4 linked regions of the Arabidopsis thaliana genome follow. The protein of the gene in region 1 interacts with the protein of each later gene in a pairwise test. Each region holds a gene or a part of one and is shown on either strand. Other genes may lie near its edges.

Region 1 (8,997 bases):
GGACAATGGTCAAGAGCCATACTATAAAAAGGACCAAAATGATTTCGATTACGAATGAGCATGAAACTTGATTTATGAGGTGTCCAAAATTAAAATGGTTTGTTTACTAGGGTTATTTATTTTAAAAAATTGAAACTTTAAAAAGTTTAAAAAATTATAAATTAAATATTACAAGAAATTTAAACAATATAAAAAATATTAATACGGGACGATATACTGCGAGAGAAATCTTAGATATAACACTCAAAATTCAATGATGAAGTTTGGGTCAATATTAATCTTTTTTGAAGTTTCTAATTTTATAAATATTTGAAATTTATAATAAAATGACAAATTTGTGTTTAATTTCACGGGACGAGGTTATATGGTGTGACGGGTTTGAGTGGATAATAACATGGGATAGTATGCTATGGAAAAAAACATATAATAACAATCATAATATAATTATATAATCTTAAACACTAAACAAAATTAACAATATTAAAAAAAAAAAACTTAAAACTTTAATTTTTTTAAAACACATTTTGATTCTTTTATAAGAAATTTAAACATTATAAATATTTAAACTTTATACTACGGGTGAAATTTTATAATTGACTGTTTGGGTTGATAAGAATTTACAATAGAACTAGGAGTTAAATCCTAGAATGACAATCAAAATATAATTATACAATTAAATACTACCACGAGTGAAATCCTATAATTGACGAGTTTGAATCGATATTAATATGGGATGGTGTACTACGGGTGATATTTTAGAATTGATTGGTTTGGGTTGATAATAATTTACGATAGAATTAGGAGTGAAATCTGATAATGACAATTAAAATATAATTATACAATTAAATACTACCACGGGTGAAATCCTAGAATTGACGGGTTTGATTCGATATTAATATGGGATGGTGTACTACGGGTGATATTTTAGAATTGACTGGTTTGGGTTGATAATAATTTGCGATAGAATTAGGAGTGAAATCCTACGATGACAATTAAAATATAATTATACAATTAAATACTACCACGGGTGAAATCCTAGAATTGACGGGTTTGATTCGATATTAATATGGGATGGTGTACTACGGGTGAAATCTGAGAAACAACAATCAATATACAATTATACAATATTAAACATTTAACAAAATAAACAAATATAATTTAAAACTTTAAAATTTGAGTTATAAAATTTCGTCTCGCGGTGAATTATACATTTAAATCAAACAATAACATAAATTTATTAAATCATCCTAAAAATTATTCAATTATTTTTTATTTAATAAAAATATAGGTCCGCGGTATACTGCAGATTAATATCTAGTATAATAAACAACATTCCAAACTAAAAAAATACTACAATCACGACCAAAGTTTGCTCTAATTCCAGTCAAAGTTTCAAACCCTAACTGTAAAAGCTCTAGTTCGAGAAAGATCATAATTGATAAAGACAACGACGGCGACGAAACTCCACGGTAAAAGATGCTACCACCGCGTCTCTGAAGAAGAAACTCCTGAGTTTTGGAGGCGACGACGAGGAGGGAGAAGACGAAGCTTCCCGTGTCAAATCCTCTTCGTGTCCGAGGAAATACAGGCGGTTTGTTGTTTATGGATATAAATTATGGTTAAAAGAACGTAATTGATGTTTGTTGTTTTATCCCATTATATATGGGATCTCGTTTACTTCAATAGTTTGGAAAATCAAGTATTGAAGTTGAATATATAGAAGATATGATTTTCATCATTTTAAATAAAAGTAATTAAATGCTAGTTGATATATTTTTCAATGGCATATCTTATAATACCCCACATAACATTTGATTATTTTGCTAACAACATTGCATAAATAATAGTACAAGATAGCTCTTGTTGCTAAAGTACACTTGATTTAATCTTTTTGCCGTGCTCCAGACTTTGTCCTAGAGAGTTGGGTCATACAGGCTTTTGATTGGCATTATAATTAAGTGTGTTTCTCTTTTTCTTTTTCAAAATCGTTCATGCGCTTTGGTTTAGTCAAATACATAAAAGATATCTAGTATTACATTGAAAACCATAGAACAAAGTAAGAGGAAGAAACAAATATAAAAAGTGTGAGATGATCAAGTATATAAGAGAGTGAAAAATGTTTTCACTTAACACTGGACGCTTCCAGAAAACTTTGAAAGCCTTCCTTAACGATATATTCCTCAAAAGAGTATGTTCTAAAATGCGGTTAGCATAACCGGGTCGCCCTAGTCTTCTTAGGTCTCATACGATTATGGACCCACGAGATATATATAACAGGATTTCGGATGTACAAAAGAAAAAAATCAAAGATATAACTATAATAATAAATTATAATCCCTTTTTGAGATAAAATGATTTAAAGAAAAAAACAGAGGAATCAATTTTGGTGTTTAACTTTTACCGGATTGTGTGTTTGGGTTTTGTTTTTATAACTTCTACTGTCCCGTCTTGAGCCGTTTTGGTTTCCGAGTTTGCTTGACATTGTCGTTTCTGGTTCGAGAAACCGGTTCACGAACTTCATGATCCTATCGAGATGTGAACAAAACTATAAACTATCAAGATCCAACTCATGAAAATGTGTTTGAATTGAATCAAACGTAAGTAAAGAAAAAGATACCTTGAAGGAAGAAGACGAGGATTGTTTAGCGAGCTCGATTTCAACGGAGATGCTTGCTTTCGTTAAGTCCACTCCTGAATTCTCCAATGCTTCTCTCAGTGTTTTCACTAATCTGCTCCACACACAAAAGTAAATGTATAAAAGGTTAATAATTTTTTACTTTTACTTAACTGTTGCAAGATCAAAATTCAAAAGAGAGTTTTTTAGTTTTACCCTTGTGAGTAAACACTTGAAATTCTGATGTTACCCTCAAGAACTTCCTCATCTTCTTCTTCTTTTTGACTCCGGGAACTCGGACTTGGCTCTACAGCCTCTGATGATGCGACTCTTGCGTGGAACTGGGGTACGGGATTACCCGCAATCACAGGAGAGAAAAAACTGTTGCTTTGAATCGACAATGGAAATGGAGAGGTCGTCGCGGTTGTTGGATGATCAATAACAACACCTTGTGCAGTTGCAAGGACCGAAACCGGAATGTTGTTTTTCTCTTCTTCCAATTTTGGAGCAAAAGCAACTCCTTCAGGTACTAGCTGTTGGTTGTTGTTACTCTGCTATAATGTAAATGGATCACACGGGTTAACATTACATGGTTTGTTTGTTTTCAGTTTCCAACCCGGGGAATAAAAATGAAGTATGGTCGGAAAATGTGAGATTATATTTACCCAATTCAATAGCTTCGCAGGTTCGTGATTCCATCCTTGGTAAGAGGTCACATACTTGTCTGCTTTCTCTTGTAAGAATTGAATATACTCGATAACCTGTATGAAGTTGTCAAAAAAAAAAATTGGAGATTAGGAGCAGATGTGATTGAATCTTACTGTCACAAAATTTTCGGCCAAAAGAGTATAGTTATACCTCTAGTAAGAAGGAGGCCTTATCCCGCTTTTGGTCGCTGTTAGGTATTAGTTGTCTCAACATCTGAAATCTGCAGAGGGATCCATTAACAATGTTTGATTAGTATCTCCACTCTGCTAAGCTATATAACCAATTCTGGTGGCTTTTGCTACATATTCAGGACTTACCTATCATTGATCTTGCTCCTTCTCCGTTGCTCTGTAGCAGAATGTTTAGACCTAGGTGTGTTCAGCTTTTGATCGTTAGGAGAGCCTCTCACATCTGCTTTTACCCTCAAATCCACTGTAAAGAAGCAATCAATCAGATCCTAAGCTGTTACTGTTTAGACTTTAGATATCATATAGGTGGAATCTCGGACAATACAAACCTCTATGGCTCTGGCTAGTCGAGGAGCTTTCTTTCTTCATGATAAAATCTTCTTCATCATCTAAATCATCTTCCTGTGAACTTCCTTTTGCTGACCTTATCATGTCCATGAAGCTCTGGCTCTTAAGCACAGACCCTCTGCAACCAAAGTAAAACTTTAGTTGATCACTCTTTAAAGTCCATAGACCGAGTTATATAAAAAAGAGAAGATATGAGACTAACTGAGAGGAAGAGAGAGAACTGAAACCGCTCATATGGTTGTTTGTCAAAGACTGGGACCGTCTCTCCGCCACTGGCCATTGTCCCACAGTTGCTGCAACATCAGCTACACATTCAAAAAAACTTATATTTCATCATTCCATTGATTTCTAAATACTACTTTAAAACTAGTCTAAATAAACATCACGATTCAAGTTTTCTTGTTACCTCTCATGTTTACTCTCTCCCCAACACTATTCTCCTTCCTTGTCTGTCCCTTCTTCCCAGAAGCAGATTCATCCCACAGAGTGAACCCGCTTGATGCAGCGGCGTACGAGCTGCAATTAGAGTTAGAATTCTCATCCAAAACGTTTCTCTCATTAGCATTGAACATCATTGGTGGTGACAACTCCGGCTTAGGAATTCTCTGATGATGATGATGGAAGTAAGGAATGGGGCTAATCGTATAAGTCCCTATACCACCGGGAAGCACGTGCTGCAACGGTGGAGGTGGAGCAGGGGGCGGTGGCTTCTCGGACGCTGTAGTGGTAGAGTTAATCCTACTTACGTCTTCTTTAGCACCAACACATTCTAACGGTTGAAGAAAATCATGGGTTTTCAAGTGACTACCTGCTTCACGTACCATCAAAATTAAAAACATAAACTATATGTTAGAGAAGTAAATCCCTAGATAATACACATTTTCTTATACATCAAGTTGTATGCATTTAAACGCTTATAGTAATTAACAACATTTTGTTATTTATGTGATGCAATTCTAGGGATCAACATCATGAGGGTTGAAAGATATTTATTTAATCGAAGGCAAGGTTTAACGACATGTGTAGACGAAAAAGAAAGAAAAAAACGGTCCCAAAATTCCATGGGCTTTAAACACAGATGGGCCCATTAGGACCCAACAAAATAGCAACATTTTGATCCATGATTCGTCTTAAAGTCAGATCAGATGCACGCGCGAAAAAAACGTGACCCCTTTTAAGAGAATCTTAAAGAAGAAAAAAGGGTAAAATGGTAAAAAAAAATACCTTGAGAAGAAGGTGGTGGTGTTGGCTTTGGATCTGGGTGGACGGTTGAATGACTGCAGAGCGATAAAAAATCATGTGTTGGTTTTCTCCCTGTGCGAAATTCTTCTTAATATATATATCAAAATTCAAAAAAATACATAAATTTAAAATTATGAATCTTGTAGAAACTAAACACTCTGTTTTAAAATAAAATAAAGGAATTGGTAACAATAATATCTGATAATGGTGTTTACCTTGGGTTTTGAAGGGACGAGGTTGAGGAAGCTCCATGAACGACAGAGCTTCGACGGTTTTTGAATTCTTTTTAAATTATTCTATTACTAATCTGTGCGCGGGAATTATCGCAAAAATTGGCTAGCAGCTCAGATCTGCGACTTGTAGCAGCTGATTCAAGAGATATTGTGGTTTTCGATGGTTGAAGAAGCGGAATTGAGCTCTGAAGTTGCTGAATTATGCTTTCTCTGTATCTTTTTACCGATAAAAATCCTCGAATTTGGTCAAATTCTGCTCGATTTAACCTAAATCAGCCTCCGCCGCAACTTTTCTCAGCGAATTCCACAGAATTCAAACGGGAGAATCGGCAGAAGTCACCAAATTCGTGGAATCGATAGATCTGTCATCAGAATTGGGTAGAAATTCAAGAGAATAACCATAATTCAGCGGAATTCATAGCTCAAACCAACTCAATTTCGCATAATTCAAGTCAACCAATGAACATGGAGATACAAAAACTAGAATCCAAGTCAAATCTCTAAAGAACACGAATGGATTAGATTTGAGCTAAGAAGCGTACCTTCTTCGACAGCAAATTACGTGAAGCTTTTGGCGTGTCAAGGTACTGTTGAAATTACGCCGACTACTATCATGCGTCGAAGTAAATGCAATCAAAAGGAAATCAGTTAACTAATTAAAATGGTAAGATATGTATGATTAATTAAGAATCTCATGTATCTGATATTCAAGTCATCGTACATTCTTCTATAGCCTAATACCACCAAACCTAAATGAACAGTGCGAAAAGGAAAAATAAAATAAAGAAGATTTTGTGTCTCCGTTTAGAAAATCATGCTTATAAAAACCTCCATGTAAATAATGTAATCAGACCACTGTATTACGTGGTCTATGTTCGTGTGTACTGAATGCGCATAACTAGACGACTTGTTTAATTGGTAAATTGGAAGGTAATTGGTAAGTTTGACAAAGATACGTACTACTAATTGATAGCTAGGCTTGGCTGCAAACAATTACCAATTTAATAGTAAATTTAGTAGTAGAAATTCTGCTATAGATGATGGAATATAGGGGGACAAGTATGATTTTGTTCGTACGTGTATGCGTCTATGTATTTGTGTGAGTGGAGATATATGTAATGTATGTGACATTAGGTGGAACAAAGACAGCTCTTCCGCCTTTAACAAATTGTCTAAAACCCATAGTTAAGAACCTGATCATGTGAGCTAAGCGCATTTTTATATTTAGTTGAATGCCACTTGTTACAAAATCACTAACTTATAAGTAAACCAAATAGACGACTTACAAATTACAGTACTTATTTTAAAAGTCTTGTTAGCATTTACTAAACTAACATATGTCTAGTACTGTATATAATTTGAATTATATATTCGAAAAAAGTCATCTCTTAAAACCAAAAATAAAATGATAAAATATCTTTAGTCCATTTGTATTCAAGCGAAAATAGTTATGGCTTTCAAGTTTTTGCAAGTACGTATATACTTGATTAAATTACTTAAGATTTTCAGTAGTTAAGAATTAAATTTACTTACGAGTAATATTTATTGCCCTCCCCTAATGCTTACAATCTAGTTAGTTTCTGAGTACTACATCTTTCCAGTAGTCATGAGTTTAATCTGAAGATAGAAATAATAAATTGAAAACAGAGATGGAGATGATAGTGAGAAAGGAACTATAGCTAAATAGTGTTGGATCACATGAAGTGAAAAATTGTACAAAATAGGGAAAGAGCAAAAACAATTACACATCCCCACATGCCTTCCACTTTGTCTCGTGAGTTGTTAGGTTGTGCTTAAACACGCTTTATTCTCTGTATTTTATATTAACCCCATGAATTGTATTATATTGATTTAAAATCACTCGCAATCTCGTGGTTCTTTGATGAAATGTATTATTGTTATTCGAGATTCGGTTTCTCTAGAGCACAAGTAATTGGTTAGATACATTAAAATCAAAAACAAAAAAGCAAATGGAATTGTTAAGATTTTTACACGTTTAGATGAGAAGAAAGAAAGAAATCAAGGAAAGTAAATAAAAACGAAATGGTCAATTCAAGTGAAAGGCGAATAAGAGGTTAGTGTGACGTCGTTTTCATGATGTAGTGGGACCACGTGAACTGACTCTGCAACTCACGTGAGAGAAACACTGTAGAAACATAAATAGATTTTCGAAAACATTAACATCAAGGGCAATTTAGTAACAATACTTCTTGACTAGAAACTTGGAAGGCTAAGGGTTTTAGTCGATCGAAGAAAGAAGGTTTCCATTCAGTCTCATAAACTGTTTATTGATATGCCACAAACCGACCTATCCTTAACCATTCGTGGTTCGGTTGGGCACATCATGTTCTTCCCGTCTTACGTAATTCAATCAATAAATAATCATTCAACTTGAGTTAGTTAACAAAATAAGAAGAAGCATATCAAGTAGGTTTCAACTTCAAAAGATTAAGATCAAAATAACTTATATAATACAAAACATATTTTCTTTAATTTCCTACGCATATTATAAAACATATCCATGGAATTAATTAGAATAATGTATAGGAGAAAATCATTCGCGGAGTCACAAGATTTCTTAAACATATTTTTACATATTTAATCCAATTTGAAGTAAATCAATGCGAGATCTCATCACAACTACTCACCAGGTTCATGCACACGCTAACAACTGTTTTAATATCAAGATTTGATAATATTTTAAGGGTGAACAATATTAAACATCTCTTTGCATATAAGTATATAACTATATATCAATGACATTTTTTTTTTTTTGGTTTTAATGTTAGATATCAATGCTCTCTACGTTGATTTCTTACAGAATTACAGTTTATCAAACATTCTCTTTTCAGAAGTTTAATTAAAAAAATATAAACCCTTAATTTATTTATTTTGTTGTTAAAGTGTTTTTAAATAAAACATTAATTACAGAAACTTTATGCATACACAAAAGAGTGTGTGGGAGAGCATCTCATCTGAATTAGCTGTCTTCTTTACTTCTTTTTTCCTTATAAAGAGGACTATTAGTTGTCTCTAATCATTGTTATTTTCTTAATAGTATAGTAACAGATTAAATAATCATAAAGCAATTAGAAAAGAAGAATAAGAAGCTGGACTTGAAGAAAAACAAATGTATTTGTAATGCGGACATTCCTCTGTACATTTGCACAGGAATCCTCTTAGGGATCAGTTAACAAATAGTTTATCTATCTAGATATCATGTGACTTAGGGTTAAAACACGAGATTAAACAACTAATTATGATACATTGAAATTAAATATGAAGTTTTTAACCAAGGAGAAGGCTACGTACGAGACTTTGGATCTAAGAGGACACGTGGCAGTTGCGCCGCGTAAATCGCGCCGTATCACGTGATAACGAAACCTTTTGGGGTATTTTTGGCTGCCTACCTCACAGCCTCCCCCATCCATCACGTGGCCAACTCACACCTCTCGATTATTGCGGGTCCCACGTTTCTTTTTTACGCTATCCCGTTTTCACTATTTTTTATTCAAAATATAAATTAATTTGCTAATTATAGATATAAAAGCTATCTTAAAACAAAAGCTGTTAAAATGCTTTGTTAGCAAAGGGGAAAACAAGAACAAAAACTATGTACTTTGAAAATAACGGACCGTATAATTTTGATATGAAAAAAGAGAAA
Region 2 (7,584 bases), on another chromosome or scaffold:
TTATAACTTGACTCGTTAACCACATTTCCCGAAATTGGTAGAGACAAAGCCAAAGATATTCAACATCCATGTGTTATAAATACGTACAACCATGCATTGGTTGGCAAGAGACAAGAGGATCTTTCAAAAATTATACAATAGTATCGATATGTTTAGAGCTCATTCGTAGCTGGCACATCATCATATTATTGCCAAAAACCTTAGAATAAACTTTAAATGTTAACGACTCATATTCTAATGTTCTAACCGTAAACTTGAATACCTATTTCAGAATGTTTGTCGAGTCTTGCAAACGTTTGCGCATTATGAAGGGATCTGAAGCAGTTGGACTTGGTACATCTCTAACTTTTTTTTTTTTTTTTTGTTTTTCAATTTTTACCAATTTTCTTTTTATTTTAATATAATTCTGTTTTCTTGGTTATAGCTCCGAGAGCAATGGAGAAGTACTGCAAGAACAGATCTTGAATTAATAATAAAAAAAAAGAAGCATCAATGATCAACAATATGACGGGTTCTTGATTTTATATGTATTTTTATGATTGTATGTGGCTATCACCTATATATGTGTGTTGTAATTTTAAATACTTGATGGGTATATAGGGCAGTATTTTACCAGTAAGATGTGGACAAACTTGTAATGTGACCAAAAGAGAGGAAACTTCAATATCTCTGTGTTTGTGTCATATTTATTGCCCAACATGTGTCTGTCGGTTTGATGATCAATCACAACTTGATATGTGCATACATATAAATGTGTGTATGTAGGTGTGTGTACATGTACATGTGTTTTGATCCCTACTCTGCTACTTGTCGTTTCTTGTGTGTGTTATCTAATAGTTTTTTCCCAAAATGAATAATTCGTTGTTATGTTTACTATTTTACCAATAAAATCTTAGCTTTTTAATTCTACTCTCTAACCATTACTAGCGTTTTTTAGTTTTAAAAACTCTGATTATGTATTGACTTTTAGATGAAGTCTTTAATGAACAATTGAACATATCCTACAACCCACAAAAAAAATAAGAAGTAGAATTTAAAGTTGGTTTGTTGTCATTTCATCATAAATTGTGTATCCTAATTTTTTGGGACATGTGGTCCGTAATCTGTCATATTTTAAACTAACTGATGATTATATGTGTAGCGGCTTTACAAGATTAATTTAGTCATCATTTCAAAAATATGTTGAAATCAATATAATTTGTTTTCATTATTAAAAAAAAAGTGAGTAAGATACAGTTACAAAAGAGGATATAAAAGTTTTAATATTCGGATGTTTGTTACTCACTTACAATTTGTTACGACTTGCGAGTTATTGATGGTTCTTACTGGTGGATGGATGATGGATCATTAGATATATATATTGTATTCATATTATAGATTAATAATCTCATATAAATTATGTAAGTCGTTGATGCCTCCAAATAGTATAATTTGACCTCTTTTGCGCTCTAATTTTGTGGGAGGAATTTATCAAATTCAGGACCCATGAGAGGGGTAGGGAACAAGAGCATGTGCATGTTCATGGGTCTTTTAATTCATATGGCCATTATGTTATTGTAATTTGTACCCAATTTTCCCGATCACGAGAGGAAAATTTCATCCTATTTTATAATTTGTCTCAATGTTTGTGTCATATTCTAGTTAATCTATACTCGAATAATTATAGTATTCCCGATCGTTTTATAGAAATATATAACCAAAAACCAAGGTCAAACGTGCAATATGATAATGACTTTGAACCAAAAAAAAAACTTAAAACAAATTGCAACCTCATGGGTCCTAATTAAGTAATTATACACCAACAATATAGTTAACAATTTAATTATTCTTATGTAAAGTAAGAATAACTTTTGATTTGAATTATAAGCTTATAGAGCCAAATATAATTAAGTATAGGCCAGGTCCATTGAAAATTCAGACATATTAATTATTACAAATGAAGTCGAGTAATGTAGAGTTTAAGGGTACGGTTTTTTGGTAGTGACCAAGCTCGACAATGCAAATCTATTTTTAATTCTATATAGCTATATTTATAAATGAAATAATGAGTGTTTTGGGATCACTAAATACAAACTTTCATGAGTTTTGATGATTGTAATACCCAAACTTTTTTCTTGGATCCGGTGCAACGATAGAACTTAATTTCATAAAATTAGCCAAGTGATGAAAAAATGATTAAGCGCTACTAGGGACATGCATGCATGCGTTTGCAAATTCTAGGTCAAAACTAATAAATTTAATTAACAACTATACTATCTTAATGATTTGATTTCCAAAACAATGCTAAATGCAAATAATATATCAAACAGAAAAGACCCAGATTACACAAACAATAAATATTCAAATGATCTGGACTCTGGAGATAATACGTGTTTAGTTTTGAAAAAGCAGTTTAAGAAATTATAGTAGCATGTCCAATTGTTTACTAAATTAAAACCACAAATTCGAAATGTTTATGTTATTATGATATTTGAACTGCTATATATGGGAGTTTGGACTCTTTTATTTCTGTTTCTGTTTTTGTACTAGACTTTAAGTTTCTGAGTTCAATATATATATAATCAGCATATTAACAATCATTATCATGTACGTGAAGTTTCATTCCAAAGATTTATTTTTTTGACTTAAATATCTGTTTTCTTAATTTCGTACGACCATTCAATTCTTGCAATGTCTAAGAGAGTGGCCATAGGAATTCAAAATTTGATACATGATGACACTTTACAAATAAATCCAAACTAGTACAAACCCAAAAGCCTCATGAGGCCATAATATGCAAGGCCTAGTTTACATCTTTTAGAGGTTCGTTTATTATAGTTTACTTTCCAGGAAGGCCCTTTTATTTACACTTAAGAAAATAAAGCGAAGGGAATATGTTGACACACAAAATAAGAACAAAAGATAGGTGAAAATGTTTTTCTTTTTTTTGAAAATCTACATTGCACTATTTTTGTTTTATGATAAATTAGATTTTAGACATGAAATATCTCCTCATATATCAAACACTTCACAAAAAGGATTCACAAATATTTTCACGTAGTATTCTTTATATACCAATGTTTTGTCTATAATACATTTAATGTGAATTTATACAGGACTAATGTAAATTCTATAAAATCTTATCATAAAATTCATTAAGGAGATTCAGAAATATTTTCCAAGAGACATTGTTCTTGTACTACACATTTCAAAACACTAATAAAAGTAGCTTAAACATTATTTTTACGTAAAAACAAAAACCAATTCCTAAAACTGTATTCTTGTAAAGACATGTAGGAAATATTTATAAATATTCTCTCTAACTCGTCAAATAATATATGAGATCATTTTTACACATGTAGCATCAGTTTAGGAAAAATATAAATTAAACAGTATATCTCGCATAATACAGAAATTTGGTATGGTCCAATATGAAATTCAATGTATATACATGAAATTGTTTAGAAAGATTTGGAATTTTGACAAGTATATTACATGCGGATATTTTTCTTGAAATTGAACAAACATAGAAAGAAATTTACAGTGTATTTAGAGATTTTAAGTCAGAAATACGCATTTAATTTAATTTTACTTACATAGTAAGAAATCTAAAATTTCATTTGTTAAATACGTAATTGCTGACGTCAAAAAGATGTAAATTTTATAGAAGAATTTAAAAATTTTGAACACGTAAACTACATGTAGATATTTTTCTCGAAATTGAACAAAACGTACATAGAAATTTACAAAATATTTAAAGATTTTAAGTCAAAGGATAAGCATTTAATTAAATTTTAAATAGTAAAAAATCTAAATTTTCATTTGTTAAATACGTAATTGGTGACGTAAGAAAATGTTGTAAATGTTTTAGTAAGATTGAAAGTTTTTGACACGTAGATATTTTTCCCGATATTGAACAAAACCTACATAGAAATTTACAAAAATCTTTAGAGATGTTAAGTAAGAAATACTCATTTAATTCTATACTACTTAAATAGTTAAAAAATCTAAATTTTTATTTGTTAAATACGTAATTGCTTACGTAAGAAAAAATGTAATTTCCTTATAAATTAGTAACGGCCAAAACATAATGATTATAAGTTAACAAAAAGAAAACTAAAGAGCCTGAAAAATAAATATAAAAATATATATACAATGTAGACCTTTTATGAACAAATTTGTAACTCTATATTTGAAAAACTTTGCAATAAATTGTTAAATATAAATTAAACCTAATGCATCACTCATGTAATCATTGGCATAAAAACTATAATATATTTTCTTTGTGAGCCACCGAAGTTTAGCTTTCTGTCACTTTGACCCTCTCTAATTATTCATAGTTTTAAAACCAACCCTCTCTAAAAATACTTAAAAGCAAACTCTTCCAAAATCAAAACCTCTTCTTACACAGATTTTTTTTTTCTCTGAGAGAGACAGAGAGAGCGAAACTTGAGAGACCAAAATCCAATCTTTTCAACAATCGATTCTCTCTGAGAAAACCAACAATAAAGCTAGACACTTTTTTTTGTGGGTTTGTCTTCTTCTTCGTTCATGCACCATGTTGTGTTACGTGAACGAAGAAGCTATATAATCAATAAATCTTATCGATTTGTTGAGTTTGGGAATCGGAGAGAAAGATGTTAACAAAGGTGCTTAGTAAGGAGGTTAAGCCATGCCTTGCTTGTCCAATCTGCACTAATCCGTTTAAGGATGCCACCACAATCTCCGAGTGTCTCCACACCTGTAAGTGTAACCCTTCGATTGTTTTTTCCTTTATCTTTGTGATTTAGATTCTGATTTTTTGTTTGTGACTATCTCTCTGTTTATTGGTTATATTAATTAGTGTAGACTAGAGATTATATCAGATTGATTCTGAAACTTGGAAGTTGAAACCGATGTTTTGTTTAGCTTTTTGGTGTTGTTGTGTGTGTTTCAACATGTATCTGTGTAAATATTAAGGTAAGCAGATAAGGACTGTTTTTTTTTGTAAGTGGATGATTCAGTGTCTGTTTATGTCTTTGTGATTTCAAAGTTGCTGTTTCTTTAGCTTGTTATGTTTCTAGTCCTGGCTTTAAGTATTGGTATATCTTGTGTCTTTATATGAATTGGGACTTGTGGAATTTGTGGTAACAGTTTGCAGGAGCTGCATTCGTAACAAGTTCATAAATGAGAGAGTGAACGCTTGTCCAGTCTGCAACGTTAACCTCGGTGTTTTTCCTCTAGAGAAACTTCGGTATGAACTTGTTTGATTCTTAGCATTTGCATCTATCTTTATGCTTTTATGTGATTTGAGGTATCTATATAAGTGCAGGTCGGATTGCACTTGGCAGGATTTGAAGCTGAAAATCTACCGAGCAATGATGGAAAGCTTAAAGAAGGCAGGACCTAAAACTGTTGCAGCGTCTGTGAAATCTTCGAAAAAGAAGAGAAAATCTCGAACTTCACTGCGGGTCTCTTCATCTAGAGTATCATCCTCACCTGATACTCCATTGGAACCAGCCAATGTGGTTGTGGAACCACCTAATGTGGTTGTGGAGGAGAAACATAGGGAGACCGTTCTAGCTCTTCAAAGCACTAGAAAACCGATAATCACGTTCCAGAAACGTGGGAGAAAAGCTTCACTCCCGAAGAAGATTGATTCGAAACCAGAACCCGAACTGCCTCCTAAGGAGCCTAAAATTAAGAATCTATTTGACCTGAACAACGAACCTGAAGACAATGGATTGGTAAGTATGTATATGAGTCTTTGTATAACTATTGTTCTCCTTTGTTAACTATCTGTTTGCAACTAATGTGTTTATGCATCTTAGGACGAAGCTGAAGGATCAACTTTTCAGGAAGTCGTACCAAAGGAGAAAGATCTTTGTAAACCTATTTTCTCTCTCTCTGTCACTCTAAACATCAACGATACTCCTCCTGATATCGTTGAGCCTGAGATAAGTTCGGATGACGACACAGAGGAATCTGTTGAACCTATTCAGAACAAGTGTGTTGTGAATAGAGAAACAAAGGAAGTTCCTGTTCAAGTGAATCAAAACAGTCTCCTTATTAGCTCTGATAGGGATAGAGAGGACAACTCTGGTCAGAAACTGAAGACCAATGGTGCTGCTACCTCCAGATCAAGGAAGAAGAAAGGTAAGAAACCGGTGGAAAAGAGCTATTCTTTGAGACCCCGAATAGGCAGGAGGACGGTTAATCCAGCAGCTGGTACTACTACACCAGAAGCTCCGGTTTCCGTGGAAGAGGAGATGAAAGTTGAAGAAGGACGTAACAACAATCCAGTTTGGTTTTCACTAAAGCCTTCCAAGACTCAGTAAAACTTTTTTTCTATCTTCTTTTTTCATGTCTTTAACTTATGATTCTGTTTATATTTGAAGGACTCGGTTTCTTCGGTTTTCAGGAACATTGAAATGCTACTTCCACCGATCACCGCTTGCTGCATAAGAGTAAAGTAAGTACTAATTAAATTTCAACTATAATCTCTGTTGTTGTTGTAGAATGTGTGATATTGATTCTTTGATTTGTTTTTATGTTCACAGAGATAGCAACATGACTGTCTCATATCTCAAGAAGTATCTAATGGTGAAGCTCGGTCTCGAAAGCGAAGACCAAGTAAACTAACTCTTCTCTCTATCTATGTCTCACTCTCTCTTGTCTTTTAACTCTAATATTTTTTGATGTTCTTTTGCAGGTGGAGATATGGTTAAGGGATGAGCCAGTGTGTTCGTCACTGACACTACATAACTTGGTGGATTGGTGGGTCCAAACAACTCCATTGCCTGAGCGACAAAGCGCGATGGTCGGAAGCTCCGCTGCTGAATTCATCATGGATCTCTATTACAGCTTCAAATCTGACGCCTCTGACTCTGGCTCTGCCTCTGAATAATTCTTCTCAGAACTTCAAACTTTACTCTTCTTCTAAACTCATTTCTTGCAGAATAAGTTTCTTTTGAAAGACTTCTAGTTTTAGCATCTTTCTTTATTTAATAATTGCTGAGACCTAAATATGGAAAACTCTTTATTTATTTGATTTGCTTGCTTTTTGAGGACTCAAACGGTATCGTTTTGTACTAATTAAATAGAAGCTCATTTTAGCTAGCTTGAGTTATATTTGATAAGATGCGCCGGTTTTGTGCTCTGTTTGGTTTAAGGTAGGGTTAACGAAAGATCTGTATCCAAACAGTCTTCTTTTTTGCCCGCCATGGATAAACACAGAGCCAGGAGCTTAGTGACGAACTAAAGGTGAAATTTTTATTGAAAGTTTCAATTTTTATATGGATTGGATTACAGAAACATTTCTATGTGAATAAACCAACAATGGCGATGAAGCCCAGTCTCCATTTTTGCCCAACTACTGTCACGAAGAAGTTTGTCTACTCGTTTCAAAGCTCCTTCTGCTTCCGTTTCTTAAGGTATAGTTCATCAATTTCACTTGGGTCTTGTAAAGGTGTTACCTTTAGTTCGAGAAATGATCAAATTGCATCGAGGAGGTTTAGCTTTAGTAGGGATTGTAATAATGGTGTGTGGCTAGAGAATTGGAATAGAATTCAGAAACGTAATCAACCTAAACCTCCAAAGGTAGTTGTGAATTATCGAAAAGAAGGG
Region 3 (6,519 bases), on another chromosome or scaffold:
CTGAGAATCATTACCAGCGTGTTGATTCTGATGATGAGGGTTGTTGTTATTGTCCCATATCTGGCTGAGGGATTGAATCACTTTAGACTCGTCGTCTTTGGCTTCGTGATAGTTTTGTTGCGCTTCTTCAGCTTCGGCTTTCTCTTTCATAGCAGCCCAGCTTTCTGAGTTGACAAGTAGGAAGGAGTTACTGTCTATTTTCATCTGTAGTTCCTCTGCTGCTCTTTGAACATCCTTGAGAACGTTCCCTGGGCTTAGCTTCTCCATTTTCTCCACCTTTTCTCCAAACAACCTCAAGACTTTGGCTCCTTCGTTTCCAACTCTTTGAAGTTCTTGACGAAAAGCCTGCCTTTTTTCTGGAGCTGCCTGCAAATCCCACACCAATTGATATCACAAGTCTTATAGGGCATACGACAAGCATTGAACTCAAAGAAAACCATTCACTAGTAACAACAGTAAACTAGGAGATCCCACTTTGCACCTACTCAACAATTATATGACAAATATCCGACTTCTCAGAGTAACAGTCTAGTTAATCACGAAGAGGTACTAGTAGCATTTGAAGCAGGTTGGTATAGTCTCTAATAACCATTATAGCACCTCATTTGCTATGATAGATAAAGTTGTATTTAACAAGAATATGGTAAGTTACCTGAATTTCCGAAAGAATGCAGCCATGCATTGCCATGACCATGAAAGCGCAGTGCCTTACTGCGCCACTAAGTTTGACGTAGTTTGCCCATGGATGGTGGAAAGTCTTATATGGTCCATGTGGAGGCTCCCATACTGCAAAATCAAGCTGAGGAAAAAAGAGGTCATCGTATCTTATCATCTAAATCCTTTTCAAGTTATCTAGTTGCTGCTCAACAAAAGTGTCCTAAGGAAAACACACCAGAGAATCTTCTTGGCTCGTAGATTGGACTACAGACCTGTATCCACTGTATAATGGATCATCCGAAGCTTGGTAAGTGAGAATCTTCGAAGGAATCCTCTCGTATTCAACACATTGCAAGTACCCATTAACACATCCTGAAAGTTTTAGGAAAGCACAAACAAAACAAGACATAAAAAAACAGCCAAAACCCGAAACGAAACAAGAGAAAACAGCCATTTGACGTATCTCTCTACCTTCAAGTGAATTGGCCACACTTTTGAAATTCTTAACAACTAGTTTATGGAGGTCTTCTCCAGCCCAAATGGGAAGTATAAATATGTTCACACCCAAACAGATACCAGCACCAACCAGGATAAGCAAAAACCTATAATAAGCAGTGCTAAAAAAATCTCTAGAGTTGTTTCCAGACACAAGAACAATACAGTATGTCAACAAAAACACCCTGAATGCATATTCATACGACTTCATCGCCGGGTATAGTTTCAAATAACTTGCAGAAAAACCTGATAGACAAACCAACAGATTCACAAGTATCAAAAATAAAGTTAGTATGTTTATTTAAAAAAGGTTCATTTCTAATAAAAATTGAGAGAAATAGTGCAACCTGCAATGAAAATACTGATAATGATAATGAGTTCTTCAAATTCTCCAGCTGAAACAGAGAGTCTAGCTATGCCAAGAGCAAGTCCTCCAGCAGAGAGTGTTCCTATAGCTCTATTAAATCCTTTGACCAATGTTGCTCCTTCAAAAAACAGAGTTAGAGCCAAATTAGATCTCTGAAGACAAGTAATCCTAAGACAGATCTAATGAGAATTTAGATCGAAGAAGACGAAAGTTTTGATTTTTAATCAAAATCCGGAAGATTTGATCGAACAACAACAACCCCAGAATCGATCTGAATCTATAGAATTCGTGAGTCACAGTACCTATACTATACTCAAAGACGACGACAACAGTAAGGATCGCCCAAACAGCATACTTGCTAGCGTCACGGAGTGGTTCTTTAAGGTAGATGACGAAAGAACAGAGTGCGAGAGCCATCCCCATCTTAACGGAGAAGTAAACTTTCCGACGATCGGAACGACCCATCTCGTATAATTTAGCACCGATGTCGTATAAAGCTTTCCAGGAAGCAGTGATCCCGTCGGAGCAAAATCGGAAACACCGGAACTTGGAACGACGGTCATCGATGATGTTTGAATCATTGAATCCGAAATCTGAGCAAGCTTTTCGAGAGAGAAAGGCTTCTCTAGTTTGGTCAGCCATTTGCGTTGATTTCTTCTTCCAAAAGATCACGATTTCATAAACTGAGAGTGAGATGAGATGGTTCGATCAGATGGATCCCACTTTAGAAGAAACCTTAATTATAGTGGGGTCCTGTAATGAAAAGGGGTGAATCATGTTTAGAAAGATTCCGAAGCTATAAGACAACATATAATTTAATTAGTAATAGTATATGATTTTCATTTGTAGAGCAAAAAACAACATGATTTGGCCGTCCATAAAAGATGTTTCTTGTTCTATATGTATATTGTTTCTTACGAAATTTTAAATATTTGAATTTGAACTCATTTAAAGAAATTTGGAAGTAGTCAAATCATAAAAATTTGTATTTTTAAGGACATTGAAAAGTACGATATTTTTTCTTTCTTACCAATATTAGGCATATCACAATTTTTTTATTTTATTAAATCATTGTTTTGCTAAAAAAAAATCAAGCAAAAATAACTATCAATTGAAGAGTAGAGTTTAAAAAATAGTATCACTCATGTTTTTTTTATAATTATAACATTTATTATGTGATGTATAATAGTGTATAATTGTTTTGTGGTAAGATGAAAAAAAATCGTTTCAGTCTATTAATTCATGTTTTGCTGTCACCATTTGAACAACAACACCATTGTAAAAAAATTGCAATCACAGATTCACAGTTCAGGTTTTTACCGAATTTTGAAAAAGTTATTGCATCCGCTCTTTGCCTTCATACAACAGAAGCATCTTATGTGTGGAGGACTACACTTGCATAAAATACCAGTAAAATTGTTCTTCTTATGAGAAAGATTGAATCACACGCTCCCAAATGGATAGCTTAGGCGATTAGTGGGACATGATAGATGCATGATATTAAAGTATGGTTTGGTCATGCGCCATTAATATGTATGTCCCTTATCATATACGTCTCCTAATATAGAGACCATTTTGTACTAAAGTTCAAGAGACCACATAGATAAAATTAAAGAAAAGATAACATACTGATAATTTTCTTAGTAACATGTATATGTGTACGTATACCACAGAAAGAATGATCAAATTTTAGATTTCAGAACGCAAAACAACTTAACTGGAAGGAAAAGAAAATCTAGTTCTAGTCTATATCCCGGAGAGATGCTAATAAGAGTCTTTAACTAGGCTTTGCTCTCTGCTTTTGCTTTGTTCTTTTCTTTTCTTATAAACTAAAAATCTCTAGAAAACATTCATACTAAAAAACAAATTCTAGAAACCCAAAAATTTACTAAACCTTATAAAAAAGACCAACAAATGTGAATACTTTCTTATGATAAAGTACGAGATGAACTTTTATGACAGATTTTCTTTTGTAAATTTACATTTCAAACCAAAAACCTAATTCTATATTGGCTAGTTATGATTCATGGCCGGCCATTGATGATAATTTTGTAAACGCTTTAACACATATAAATGAGTATTTAAATATTTTTATATCAGTATTTTCACGAATGCTACATATTTGAATTGGCTAAACAAACACAAAAGAAAAAAGAAAAATACCACAACAATAACATTTCCTAACCACATTTACGTCAATATGTAAATTTATAAGTAAACTAAAAATACTATGTTTTGAGCAGTTTAAAACAATTTGGAAAACAATTAGTCAAGATAATATCATCGAAAATTAGATTAGATATTCCAAGATTTGTTACTTTTTCCTTTGAATGGTTCATGCAAAAAAAAAGGAATGGTTCCTTTAGACCAGCAGTAAAATAGTAGTAAAAATCGGGTCTAACGTAACAAGTGAGAAAATCAAGGTAAGTGAATAATACTAACAGCATATAAAGGTTAAAGCTTTATCCTGTGAGAGAAACAGATAGAATTTTCAGAAAAAGAGCACAAGGTAGGTGAAAGATTTCTTCTTTCTTTTTTTCTCATCACAAACTCTCTGCATTTCTCCACGAAATCATTACTTGAATAGTAACCCGTCTCTCTTATATTTGCTTACTGTGAGCCTGCGACTGTAATTTATGTTCTTCTCTTTCTAAAGATTTGCGTTTTGTTTGAATCGGAGTTTAATTCAAGAACCCTTTTTTACACTTCTTTCTTCTAAGGGTTTTAGGTTGTAGCTGTGTGTGTGTGTCTCACTTATCTCTTGTGGGTTTTTATCTCTTTTGAAGAACAGGAACAGTTAAAAGTCGGGATTTTTGGGTATTTGAGAAGCAATCGGAACAACAACGGCGTTTGTAACGCGGATTTATGTCGGCTGTGTCTGAATCGGCTGCGATTTCGTCTCTGTTTCTAATCTCCTTTGCAATTCAATCGTCTTCTTCTTCTTCCTCGTCTGTCTTGTTCTTTGGTCTGAGTCTGACGGCTGTTCTTAACGCTCTTCGCTTCTGCTCCGAACAGAGGCTTATTCTTGAGGTTCCTTCCATTTCCATGGGCTTAAGACTTAAAAGGTTTGGCCTTTTCTCTCTTCTTCTTTATCTTTTTCTTTTGTTGGTGAAGGAGAATCTAAAGGTTTTAAGTATTGGTTCTGGATTGTGATTTTGTGCAGGACTTGTTCTGGTGTTGAAGTATTTGGGGGTTTTCACGAAAAGCAAAAAATACCCTTTTTCATAGTTCGCTGAAACAGAGAAATCTTTTTCCTGAAAAAAACCTCATCCGATTTAGCAGTTTTTGATCAGAGATTTTTGAGTGGGGTTTTTTTGGTGTGTTCTTGGTGTGTTTGAGAAGATATGAAGTCCTTTGTGAAACCTGAGAGAGACTCTTTGTTGAGAACAGTTCGTATTGTTTTCACTGATCCTGATGCTACTGATGATTCCTCTTCCTCTAGCGATGAATGGTTACCTAAACCTCGAAAGGTAAAGCGTTTTGTTCATGAGATTACTTTCCTCCCTCAGGTCTCCGAGAGTTCTCAGGATCGTAGCAATGCTGTCAAAACCCCTAGAAGGAAATCTACTAGGCAGTTTAAGTATCCTGTGGGAGTTAGGCCGAGGCCATCAGGCAAATTTGCTGCTGAGATTTTGAACCCATTCACTAAAACTAAGAAATGGTTGGGTACTTATGAAACTCCTGCAGAAGCTGAGAAGGCTTATGTTGACAAGAAGGTTGAGTATGATGCACTGGCTTCTTCAGGTTCTGCTGTTTCCTCATCGGTTGTAACAGTGACTAGCCAGTGCTTGCGTTCCCCTACTTCTGCTTCTGTTTCTTGTGTAAGTGCTGATGATTTGTCTAAAGAAAAGACGTCTCTGAACAAAGATGTTGCTGCGTCTGGTGATTCAACCACCAAAGAAGTGTTCACTACTTTCGACTTTTCGGATGTGAAAATACCTGATCTGAGATTCTTAGCAGCAGAAGAGGATTCTATGGTTTCTAATGCAAATGGTGCAGAGCTAGACTTTGATTGTTTCCTTACTGACTCTAACATTCTGCTGGATGATTACTCATTGCTCGAAAATGATATCAACTTCAGCAGGTTTGAAAACAGTCTTCCAAGTGAGCTACCTGACTGTGATTTCACTGAAATGGAATTCCAGCTTGATGATTTCAAATTTGCCTATACAGATCATCTGACAACACCGCCTCTCGGTTTGGTTTAAGAGTTGTTAGCTTCGGTTTCTGTTTCACAGGAACATGATGAAGAAAGCTAGAAAGTATGATCCTTGCGGTCTGATCTCTATGGATTTTTCATGTGCTTTTAGAACAGTCCAAAGGAGTGATTTGCACAACATTTTTTCATAAATGTTGGTTTTACTTTCTTTCATCTTTATGTTTTAATCTATTTCCTTATGCATTGTTCTTCGTATCTCTTTTGTCTCTTGGTGTTGTACCTTTCTCTTTTAATGTTTGTCTAATCAGGACAGAAAATCTAAACCGAGAATTTAATAAGTCATGGGTTGATATTAATAGTACATAACAGTTGGATCACATTTATGTTTTTGAAGGTGGCTAATGGTGATTGTGACTTGTGAACGACCAAAAATGAAATGTAGACGACTCTCTCAAGTGGCATTCTCCACTACCTTAAAAGTAAAGAGTACTAAAGAGAGTTGACACGTGTTCCTGTACCTTTCTTGGTACGGACATTTGTGTGTGTTAAGCACGTGATACGATCAGTCCAAAGAAACTCTACAAGACGTGAGCGAGATGGTGTAATTATTAAGTCCAAGATTGATGGGCACTTTACATAGTGTGGAATCCTTTTAGATTAAGAGATCTCGTTGATGTTTAAATATAAGCTTGATTAGTTTGTGTTTCAGAGCAAACCCTTGTCTTGAAAACACTTGATACAGTCATCAAACATCTCTGTTAATGACTTGAAGGAGGCAAAGCCAAGTTCATGTATTTTTGTTGTGTCTAAGCTATGAGGCATATCTTTCCCTTCTTCACTG
Region 4 (7,961 bases), 890 kb from region 1:
TTGTTGTTCCAAGAAGGTCCTTAGAACCCGAGACAACAGGTATATTGCTATACACTTCCATGTTAATAAGGATATCTCTCTCAGATTATTAAGTTTTAGCTGGATACTACATATAATTTGCAGCTGTTCCTGAATGGTTTGCTGCTGGTTCTTTTGGATTGGTGGCATTGTTTACATTGTTTCTCCGTAATGTGCCTGCCTTGCAATCCGACTTACTGTAAGAACATCTTGAACATGTTTTCTCTAGAATATGTTATGCTTCCAAAACATCTAACTGAATAAAAAATTTCCCTCCCATATATGAATTTAATTGCAGATCGGCCTTTGACAACCTTGAACTGTTAAAAGATGGCTTACCAGGAGCTCTTGTCACCGCTCTTGTCCTTGGAGTACATGAACTGGGACACATTTTAGTTGCAAATAGCTTAGGAATAAAGCTTGGTGTTCCATTCTTTGTTCCAAGTTGGCAGGTGAAGATGCGATGTTCTATTTGAAAGAAAAGGAAAAACTTTCAGCTGAAATTTGGTTTTTTTAGACATTTAATGAACATGTTTTAGATGGCAGATAGGCTCTTTCGGTGCTATAACGAGAATCAAAAATATCGTAGCCAAGCGAGAAGATCTTTTGAAGGTTGCAGCTGCAGGACCTTTGGCTGGCTTTTCTCTAGGCTTGATTCTGTTTCTTATAGGGTTATTCGTGCCTCCCAGTGACGGCATTGGCGTTGTAGTTGATGCATCAGTGTTTCACGAGTCCTTCCTTGCTGGTGGTATTGGTAAGCTTTAGCTCTCAATCAAATATGATAAAGTGTTGCAGGCTGAAGCTGGAGAGTTGATCAATGTTTAAATTTTGTTTCTTTTTCTCTTATAGCAAAGCTCCTACTAGGTGATGCACTCAAAGAAGGAACTTCAATATCTCTTAACCCACTTGTGATCTGGGCATGGGCTGGACTTCTCATCAATGGCATTAACAGTATCCCTGCGGGGGAGCTCGATGGGGGCAAAATAGCTTTCTCCATTTGGGGAAGAAAGGTAACACTAATTAGAATGACTTAAAAAGCTTAACAATGTCTTATACTATTCGTCTTTGTGTTCGAGTCCATTCCCCATAGTAGATTGATTAGGTAGTAATCAGAATTATATATGTCTCCTAATGATTTCAGACCGCAACACGGCTCACGGGTGCATCCATAGCGCTTTTGGGCTTATCGGCGTTGTTCAGCGACGTGGCATTCTACTGGGTGGTTCTGATATTCTTCCTGCAGCGTGGACCGATTGCGCCGCTGGCTGAAGAAATCACGGTGCCTGATGATAAGTATGTGTCTCTTGGAATCCTGGTTTTGTTTCTCTCCTTGCTTGTGTGTTTGCCTTACCCATTTGCTTTCACGGGCAATGAAGCCATGATGATTGGCTTGTGAAGTGACTCATATCATTACACCGCACAATAAGAAATCAGAGATATAGTTGTAACTTTTTGTTTTGGTCTCTATGCTCTACTTTGACATCTAAAGTTATGTTTTTGTTCTTGCTCTATATTTTTACTCTCATGGAGCAGTTTAGGAAACAAACCAAATTTCTCACAGAAATGTGAACTAATATTTTGCTAATCAGTTATTAATTACGTGTGGGATTGTCAATCTAGGTTTTGAAAAAGAGACTTTCACTGGTTGGAAAAACAGAAAAGACCAACTTTGTTTATGGGGTAGTGATAATCATATTGTTAACAACTTTGTATATATATATATATATATCAGACGAATTAATAGAAATTTAAACTACATTATAGACATGCGAGAGTATGTGACAAATTTGATGCTATAACGACGTTAAATTCTCTATTCAAGAAAAACAATTCAAAACTTTAATAACATAAAGAAATGACTAGGAAGGATTAATATTAGTATAATAGAAGGAAAGAATAATATTATGAAATTGGAAGGTAAAAGATAAGAAGAAAAGCACATGCTTTTAATGTGGATGGATTTGATTTTGGTTGGTAGCAACTAAAGGCTAAAGCAACCTTCCAATTTACATAGTCCTACTATGATCGTTGTTTATTCAAGAAAATGTCAAAGTTTCTACATTCGTACTATTATATAATTGACTGAAGAAATTAAATACTAATCTGGTAAAAGAAGTAGTATTGTTAACATTCCGCTATCAGGCATGTTACCAACTTTTCTATGTTTTTATTTTTGTTGGAAAAAAATGAAAAACGCATACTTGAGGATTGTCTTGTAATGGCATTAATAAAGAAAGACTTTTCGAACACTAAAGTAAGAAGATAAGGGTTTTTGACTTTTGAGAAAGACGACCGTTCGTATCGTTTGCTTATGAAACTGATGCAATATCTTTGTGAATGACAAGTTTGCTTAGTTTTTCCGAAAAGGGTTCGCTGCCTTCATGGTTCATGCACATGACTTATAGTGAAAAAATGAGGGAAATTGGAAAATACAGGTAAGGGGTATTAAAGTAAATTGCTAAATAAGTCACATGGTCATCTTCTTTATAAATATGCCACATCTCGTAGAATAATCACTAATCAAATTTACTCATTTAGCCGTCACCTCTGAATCTTCTTCTCCGATCTTCAAACATTCCGGCCGCCACCGAGTTCTTAGCCGTTACAATGTCTTCCTCTATGAACGTAGCGACGATGCAAGCACTGACTTTCTCTCGCCGGCTTCTCCCTTCTGTTGCTTCTCGTTATCTCTCTTCTTCTTCTGTGACCGTTACTGGATACTCCGGTAGAAGCTCGGCTTACGCGCCTTCTTTCCGTTCGATTAAATGCGTCTCTGTTTCTCCGGAAGCTTCAATAGGTGAAGCAATGCTCTTCGTTTTTTCTTTTAATTTGGGTTTTTGATTGTTTGATTTTTTACCGATAAAATGCGGGAAAATGGTTGAACGACATTTATGTCAAGCTTATAATTTCTATTCTCTGACTAATTTGATTGGTTTGATTGTGAATGTGAATCTTCTTAAGCGTGAAAACAGTTCTGATACATGTTTTTGGACTTGTTCTCTGCAGTAAGTGATACAAAGAAGTTGGCAGATGCTTCTAAGAGTACAAACCTTATACCAATTTACCGCTGTATATTCTCTGATCAGCTTACTCCTGTTCTTGCTTACCGTTGTTTGGTCAAAGAAGATGACCGTGAAGCTCCTAGCTTTCTTTTCGAGTCCGTTGAGCCTGGTTCTCAGATGTCTAGCGTTGTAAGTATATAATCTTTCTTTGTACATATCCTTTTTATCTGTTAATATGTCTCAGTTCCTAATTGTTTCTTTGATGTGATTGGTCTCGATAGGGTCGTTATAGCGTTGTTGGGGCTCAGCCTGCGATGGAGATCGTGGCAAAGGAGAATAAAGTTATTGTAATGGATCACAACAATGAAACCATGACTGAGGAATTCGTCGAAGATCCAATGGAGATCCCAAGAAAAATCTCTGAGAAATGGAACCCTGATCCTCAACTAGTTCAGGACCTTCCAGATGCGTTTTGTGGTAAGAGATTCTTCTTTATTGTTTATAATGAGTCACTTTCTAGAATAGTTAACTTAAAAGGAATGAAGCCACTAGTTTTAAGGACTGGGGATATGTGATAATGGTATGGATGTCTTCGAGACAAGCTCTTGCTTTTGAGTGATCTTTTTAAATGTCAAGTTTCATGGATTTCTATCTCAAAACCATTTAGCAATTAATGCACGTAACCCGTGTTCACTACATACCATATCATATGGGGTCATGGGATTCCTAGTTGTAAACATGTACGTCTGATTTCCCAAGAGGCAAGAGCAATTGATAAAGTAGAGAACTTTCTTATGCTGGTCATTCTGTCCCTGTTGTGATCTAGTTTTCCCTCTACCTTTTGTGCCCAATTCGCCTTTACGTTCTTGAATATCTTTTCTCGCGCTTTTAGATAGAAGATTGATTGCCCTTAGTGTTTTAGTTTACTTTTTGTGCTTTATCTTGTTCATGAAGTGGTATCTCTTAGTAAGATTTCTTTATTATGATAGGTGGGTGGGTTGGTTTTTTCTCGTACGACACTGTTCGTTATGTTGAGAAGAGGAAATTGCCATTTTCAAAGGCCCCTGAGGATGATAGGAACTTGCCAGACATGCATCTTGGTCTGTACGACGATGTAGTTGTATTTGATCACGTGGAAAAGGTAATCATTTTGTCACCATCCATGTTTTATGATTAACTGAGACATGCATCTTAGTTTCCTTTTTATGCGTTATCTTGTTCTTGAAGTGGTGACTAGAGATTCCTTGTAAAATTTTACAGAAAGCATATGTCATTCACTGGATTAGACTAGATGGGAGCCTTCCTTACGAAAAGGCATACAGTAATGGAATGCAACATTTGGAGAACTTGGTGGCCAAGTTACATGATATTGAGCCGTGAGTATCTCTTTGAATTGATTAAGTTTTTCAGCTCCGTTTGGCTACTATTCTTAAAAGTTGTTCATTTTTCTTCCGCTGTGAATCTATGCAGGCCAAAACTGGCTGCAGGTAACGTGAATCTTCAGACACGACAATTTGGGCCATCTTTGGATAATTCAAACGTGACATGCGAAGAGTACAAGGAGGCTGTGGTCAAGGCCAAAGAACATATACTTGCAGGAGACATATTTCAGATCGTGCTGAGTCAACGTTTTGAGCGGCGAACATTTGCAGACCCCTTTGAAGTTTATAGAGCACTAAGAGTTGTGAATCCAAGTCCGTATATGGGTTATTTGCAGGTTGGTGATGGAGAGAACATTTCTCAACAACTTTGCATTTTGTACTTGTGGATAAACCATCAATGCTGTTTTCGTTCTGTTATTCAGGCTAGAGGATGCATTTTGGTAGCATCAAGTCCAGAAATTCTCACCAAAGTAAAGCAGGTAAATCTCTCTTTTCTCAAAGCTGCATTAATCTTTATATCATTTTTGAAGCTAACCTTTATATCATATTTGAAGCAGAACAAGATAGTGAATCGGCCATTGGCAGGAACCAGCAAGAGAGGGAAGAATGAAGTTGAGGATAAGAGATTAGAAAAGGAACTGCTAGAGAATGAAAAGCAATGTGCTGAGCACATCATGTTGGTTGATCTCGGTCGCAACGATGTTGGAAAGGTTACGAAATACGGATCAGTGAAAGTAGAGAAGCTTATGAACATCGAACGTTATTCCCATGTTATGCATATAAGCTCCACGGTAATTGTTAATTAGATAACTAGTAGTAGATCAAATATCTAAAGTCTCGCATAGTGTGTTCCTTAATATCTTAAGTTCTAATTCTGTGTGTAGGTGACAGGAGAATTACAAGATGGTTTGACTTGCTGGGACGTACTACGTGCGGCTTTACCAGTGGGAACAGTTAGTGGTGCACCAAAGGTCAAAGCTATGGAACTAATCGATGAGCTAGAGCCAACGAGGCGTGGACCATACAGTGGCGGTTTTGGTGGAGTCTCCTTCACTGGTGACATGGACATTGCTTTATCCCTTAGGACAATCGTTTTTCCGACAGCATGTCAATACAATACAATGTACTCTTACAAGGATGCTAACAAACGGCGTGAGTGGGTGGCTTATCTTCAAGCTGGAGCTGGTGTAGTAGCTGATAGTGACCCGCAAGACGAACACTGTGAGTGCCAGAACAAAGCCGCTGGTCTTGCTCGAGCCATCGACTTGGCTGAATCTGCATTTGTGAAAAAATGATTGTGCCCAAGAACAGAGGCTGGCTTTCTTTGAACTCCGAGTTCATGTGTATAAAACAGTTACAAGCAGAACAAAGTTTTTTCTTTTTCTTGATTTTGTGAGAATTGCAATTAGACTCCATTAATGAAGCTCTGAAAAATGTTACAATAGAAACCATGGTCAATAATATTCAGCTATTCTCCCAAACTTGATTCTTCTTTAACCAACAACTGTCGAGCTTTTCCTTTTCTTTGGATTATTGTTTTCTTGATCCACATACTTGGCAGCAGAACGATATCGGATCGCCTTCATGCTATTGTCAACCTTTTTCCACTCGATCACCTGCAAAGACGGCAAATAGCGAGTTGAGGATGCATTCAAGGATGTCAAAGATGAACAGGCTAGAGAGATGAGTACACAAGATAAGTCCATAGAAATGGGTGTTGGATAATGCCTTTTTAGCGTTTAAAGCTTCTTGCTTTGTCTCAAATTCAATAAAACCATAACCAGCATATCTTCCCTTAGTCCTCTCTGGAAGCCCAACGCTCTTGATCTGTCCAAATGGAGTGAAAAGCTGTCTTACTTCTTTCATAGTTGCTTCAAAAGCTATATTTTTCACATGTAACTTTGTCAAAATTGTGTCCTTGTCTAAATCTTTCCCAACCGTTCCACTCGGCTTGTTTTTAGAGAAGCTCAAGATCAAAGCATGCCCATCCACAACAGTTCCCTAGGAGCAAACAAAAAATTGTCACCCTACTTCATCGAGTCCAATCAACTTCAAGTTTCAAATTAAAGAGACTTAACTAGGATAATATACCTGTAGATCTCTGTAGACACTGGTCGCTGTCTCTTCGGAGTCAAATTCTACAAAACCATATAAAAAACAGACATGATGGTTAACTGCATATCATCATCTGTCAGCAAAACTTACCTTAAAACTCAGAATCTTTCCCTGCTTCACCAGTTCAGTCAAATGCTTCTTCAAACTCTCATCAGTGTCTTGAAGTTCAGAATCTTAACATAAAGGACATTTGACTGAAATATAATGCATTATTTAAAGGAAATGTTACAAGATTGATCAGAAAACTTGAAGCCAGTCAACATAAATTATTCAGTACCTAACGTGAAACTTACACTGTAATACTAAACCCGAACATAAATTAGTTCAGATACTTCAATACCACACAAAAGGACGAACACATGGTTTCAAAACGTCCACAGCAATCATAAAGTGGGCATACCTCAGTTATATCCGAATCGATTCCAACCTGCTGATCCAAGTTGAGTCTTCTTCTCACATCATTTTCTTCAACATCACTCGTATTTTCATTGTTATCGGCAAGTGCTTTTGGCTCAAGAATATCTCTAGGAGCCCCAGATACAGGGGAGCATCTCTGTAATAATAAGGAAATGTGATGAAGCAGTTTGGTTAGACTAGGACAACCATTTATCTCCAAGAAGCACTTTAGGGGAAGAAAGAATGAGGATTTTAGACTTTATACATAGAGAAACAAAAGCTTACTTGTAACGCTTGTACGCCCATTCCCTTCAGAGCTTCACGTGCCTCAATCGGTTCAAGGAAAACAACCTGAAAAGTCAAGTAAGAACAGGTTAGAGAATAATCACCTATTCGTTAAAAGTCAAGTGCTTCTTTGGTCTCCATAATCACGGGGCTTAGCTGGTGAAATATTCAACGTCCGCCCCTGGAAAGGTAATTTATCTAATTTCTCCATTGCCCTGCAACACCATCCAAATTAAACATCCTGATGTCCGAATCCGAAAACATGAATTGTAAACTCTTTGTCAACTCTGTCAGCTTCAATATCCCCATCAATAGGAAAAACATGAATTGCATCTTCACAACCATAAGTTTCACAATCACTGTCCGAATCCGACAGATTTTTCTTTGTCCGACTCTTGTAGTATTCCATATCAGAAACATCATCACCAACGAGAGCAACAACTTTAATCTTTCTAGTCTTTTTAGAATCTAATAATGATATTTTCGCTTTGTTAGGCTCATCAGCACCATCGGGCGAGACCTGATCGTTGCCGATGGACACATATCATTGGACCAGGTTTTCAACTTATTATTAAGCTCAAGAAATTCTTGAAGCTGAGGATCATGATCAACCTCTGGTTTCTTCTTAATCTTTTTGTCTCCTTTAGCATAAGCATTAGAAAAATGTTCAGTATTTTCCTTTTTTTTGAAAGAACGTAAAAATAGATTCAACCAAAAAAACTTTGTTACAATGAATGCTTCGATTTGTTTGAGTGTTTTTGAT

The links.
Region 2: the proteins of BIM1 (region 1) and AT3G23060 interact in binary tests that used the Arabidopsis thaliana proteins (3 or more experiments, as listed by UniProt).
Region 3: the proteins of BIM1 (region 1) and CRF12 interact in binary tests that used the Arabidopsis thaliana proteins (3 or more experiments, as listed by UniProt).
Region 4: the proteins of BIM1 (region 1) and ASA1 interact in binary tests that used the Arabidopsis thaliana proteins (3 or more experiments, as listed by UniProt).

The regions. Positions count from the first base shown.
Region 1 is NC_003076.8:2,604,220-2,613,216, forward strand, and holds BIM1 (basic helix-loop-helix (bHLH) DNA-binding superfamily protein), read right to left. Parts: upstream 6,032-8,997; 5' UTR 5,876-6,031; exon of another isoform or gene 5,696-5,875; 5' UTR 5,353-5,695; coding exon 5,316-5,352; intron 5,185-5,315; coding exon 5,083-5,184; intron 4,667-5,082; coding exon 4,265-4,666; intron 4,164-4,264; coding exon 4,061-4,163; intron 3,977-4,060; coding exon 3,840-3,976; intron 3,755-3,839; coding exon 3,640-3,754; intron 3,543-3,639; coding exon 3,473-3,542; intron 3,376-3,472; coding exon 3,280-3,375; intron 3,169-3,279; coding exon 2,831-3,168; intron 2,730-2,830; coding exon 2,618-2,729; intron 2,526-2,617; coding exon 2,436-2,525; 3' UTR 1,799-2,435; downstream 1-1,798. UniProt on the Arabidopsis thaliana protein: Positive brassinosteroid-signaling protein. Transcription factor that bind specifically to the DNA sequence 5'-CANNTG-3'(E box). Can bind individually to the promoter as a homodimer or synergistically as a heterodimer with BZR2/BES1.
Region 2 is NC_003074.8:8,196,252-8,203,835, forward strand, and holds AT3G23060 (RING/U-box superfamily protein), read left to right. Parts: upstream 1-4,384; 5' UTR 4,385-4,616; coding exon 4,617-4,722; intron 4,723-5,112; coding exon 5,113-5,212; intron 5,213-5,290; coding exon 5,291-5,705; intron 5,706-5,789; coding exon 5,790-6,292; intron 6,293-6,356; coding exon of another isoform or gene 6,357-6,379; coding exon 6,380-6,430; intron 6,431-6,518; coding exon 6,519-6,591; intron 6,592-6,670; coding exon 6,671-6,865; 3' UTR 6,866-7,084; downstream 7,085-7,584. Other genes in the region: IAA7 (indole-3-acetic acid 7), read left to right, coding at 272-333, 425-465; CFM3A (CRM family member 3A), read left to right, coding at 7,297-7,584.
Region 3 is NC_003070.9:8,944,109-8,950,627, reverse strand, and holds CRF12 (AP2 domain-containing transcription factor family protein), read left to right. Parts: upstream 1-3,999; 5' UTR 4,000-4,028; intron 4,029-4,305; 5' UTR 4,306-4,584; intron 4,585-4,682; 5' UTR 4,683-4,863; coding exon 4,864-5,727; 3' UTR 5,728-6,019; downstream 6,020-6,519. Other genes in the region: AT1G25480 (aluminum activated malate transporter family protein), read right to left, coding at 1-366, 653-799, 893-1,029, 1,129-1,398, 1,500-1,637, 1,822-2,161; AT1G25460 (NAD(P)-binding Rossmann-fold superfamily protein), read right to left, coding at 6,384-6,519.
Region 4 is NC_003076.8:1,717,476-1,725,436, reverse strand, and holds ASA1 (anthranilate synthase alpha subunit 1), read left to right. Parts: upstream 1-2,526; 5' UTR 2,527-2,625; coding exon 2,626-2,815; intron 2,816-3,024; coding exon 3,025-3,209; intron 3,210-3,301; coding exon 3,302-3,497; intron 3,498-4,009; coding exon 4,010-4,161; intron 4,162-4,280; coding exon 4,281-4,396; intron 4,397-4,490; coding exon 4,491-4,881; intron 4,882-4,959; coding exon 4,960-5,193; intron 5,194-5,270; coding exon of another isoform or gene 5,271-5,286; coding exon 5,287-5,697; 3' UTR 5,698-5,862; downstream 5,863-7,961. Other genes in the region: EGY2 (ethylene-dependent gravitropism-deficient and yellow-green-like 2), read left to right, coding at 1-39, 124-217, 317-470, 565-772, 868-1,028, 1,160-1,414; AT5G05735 (uncharacterized protein), read right to left, coding at 5,271-5,471; AT5G05720 (RNA-binding (RRM/RBD/RNP motifs) family protein), read right to left, coding at 5,896-6,077, 6,184-6,403, 6,608-6,690, 6,875-7,070, 7,199-7,264, 7,437-7,718, 7,811-7,876. UniProt on the Arabidopsis thaliana protein: Part of a heterotetrameric complex that catalyzes the two-step biosynthesis of anthranilate, an intermediate in the biosynthesis of L-tryptophan.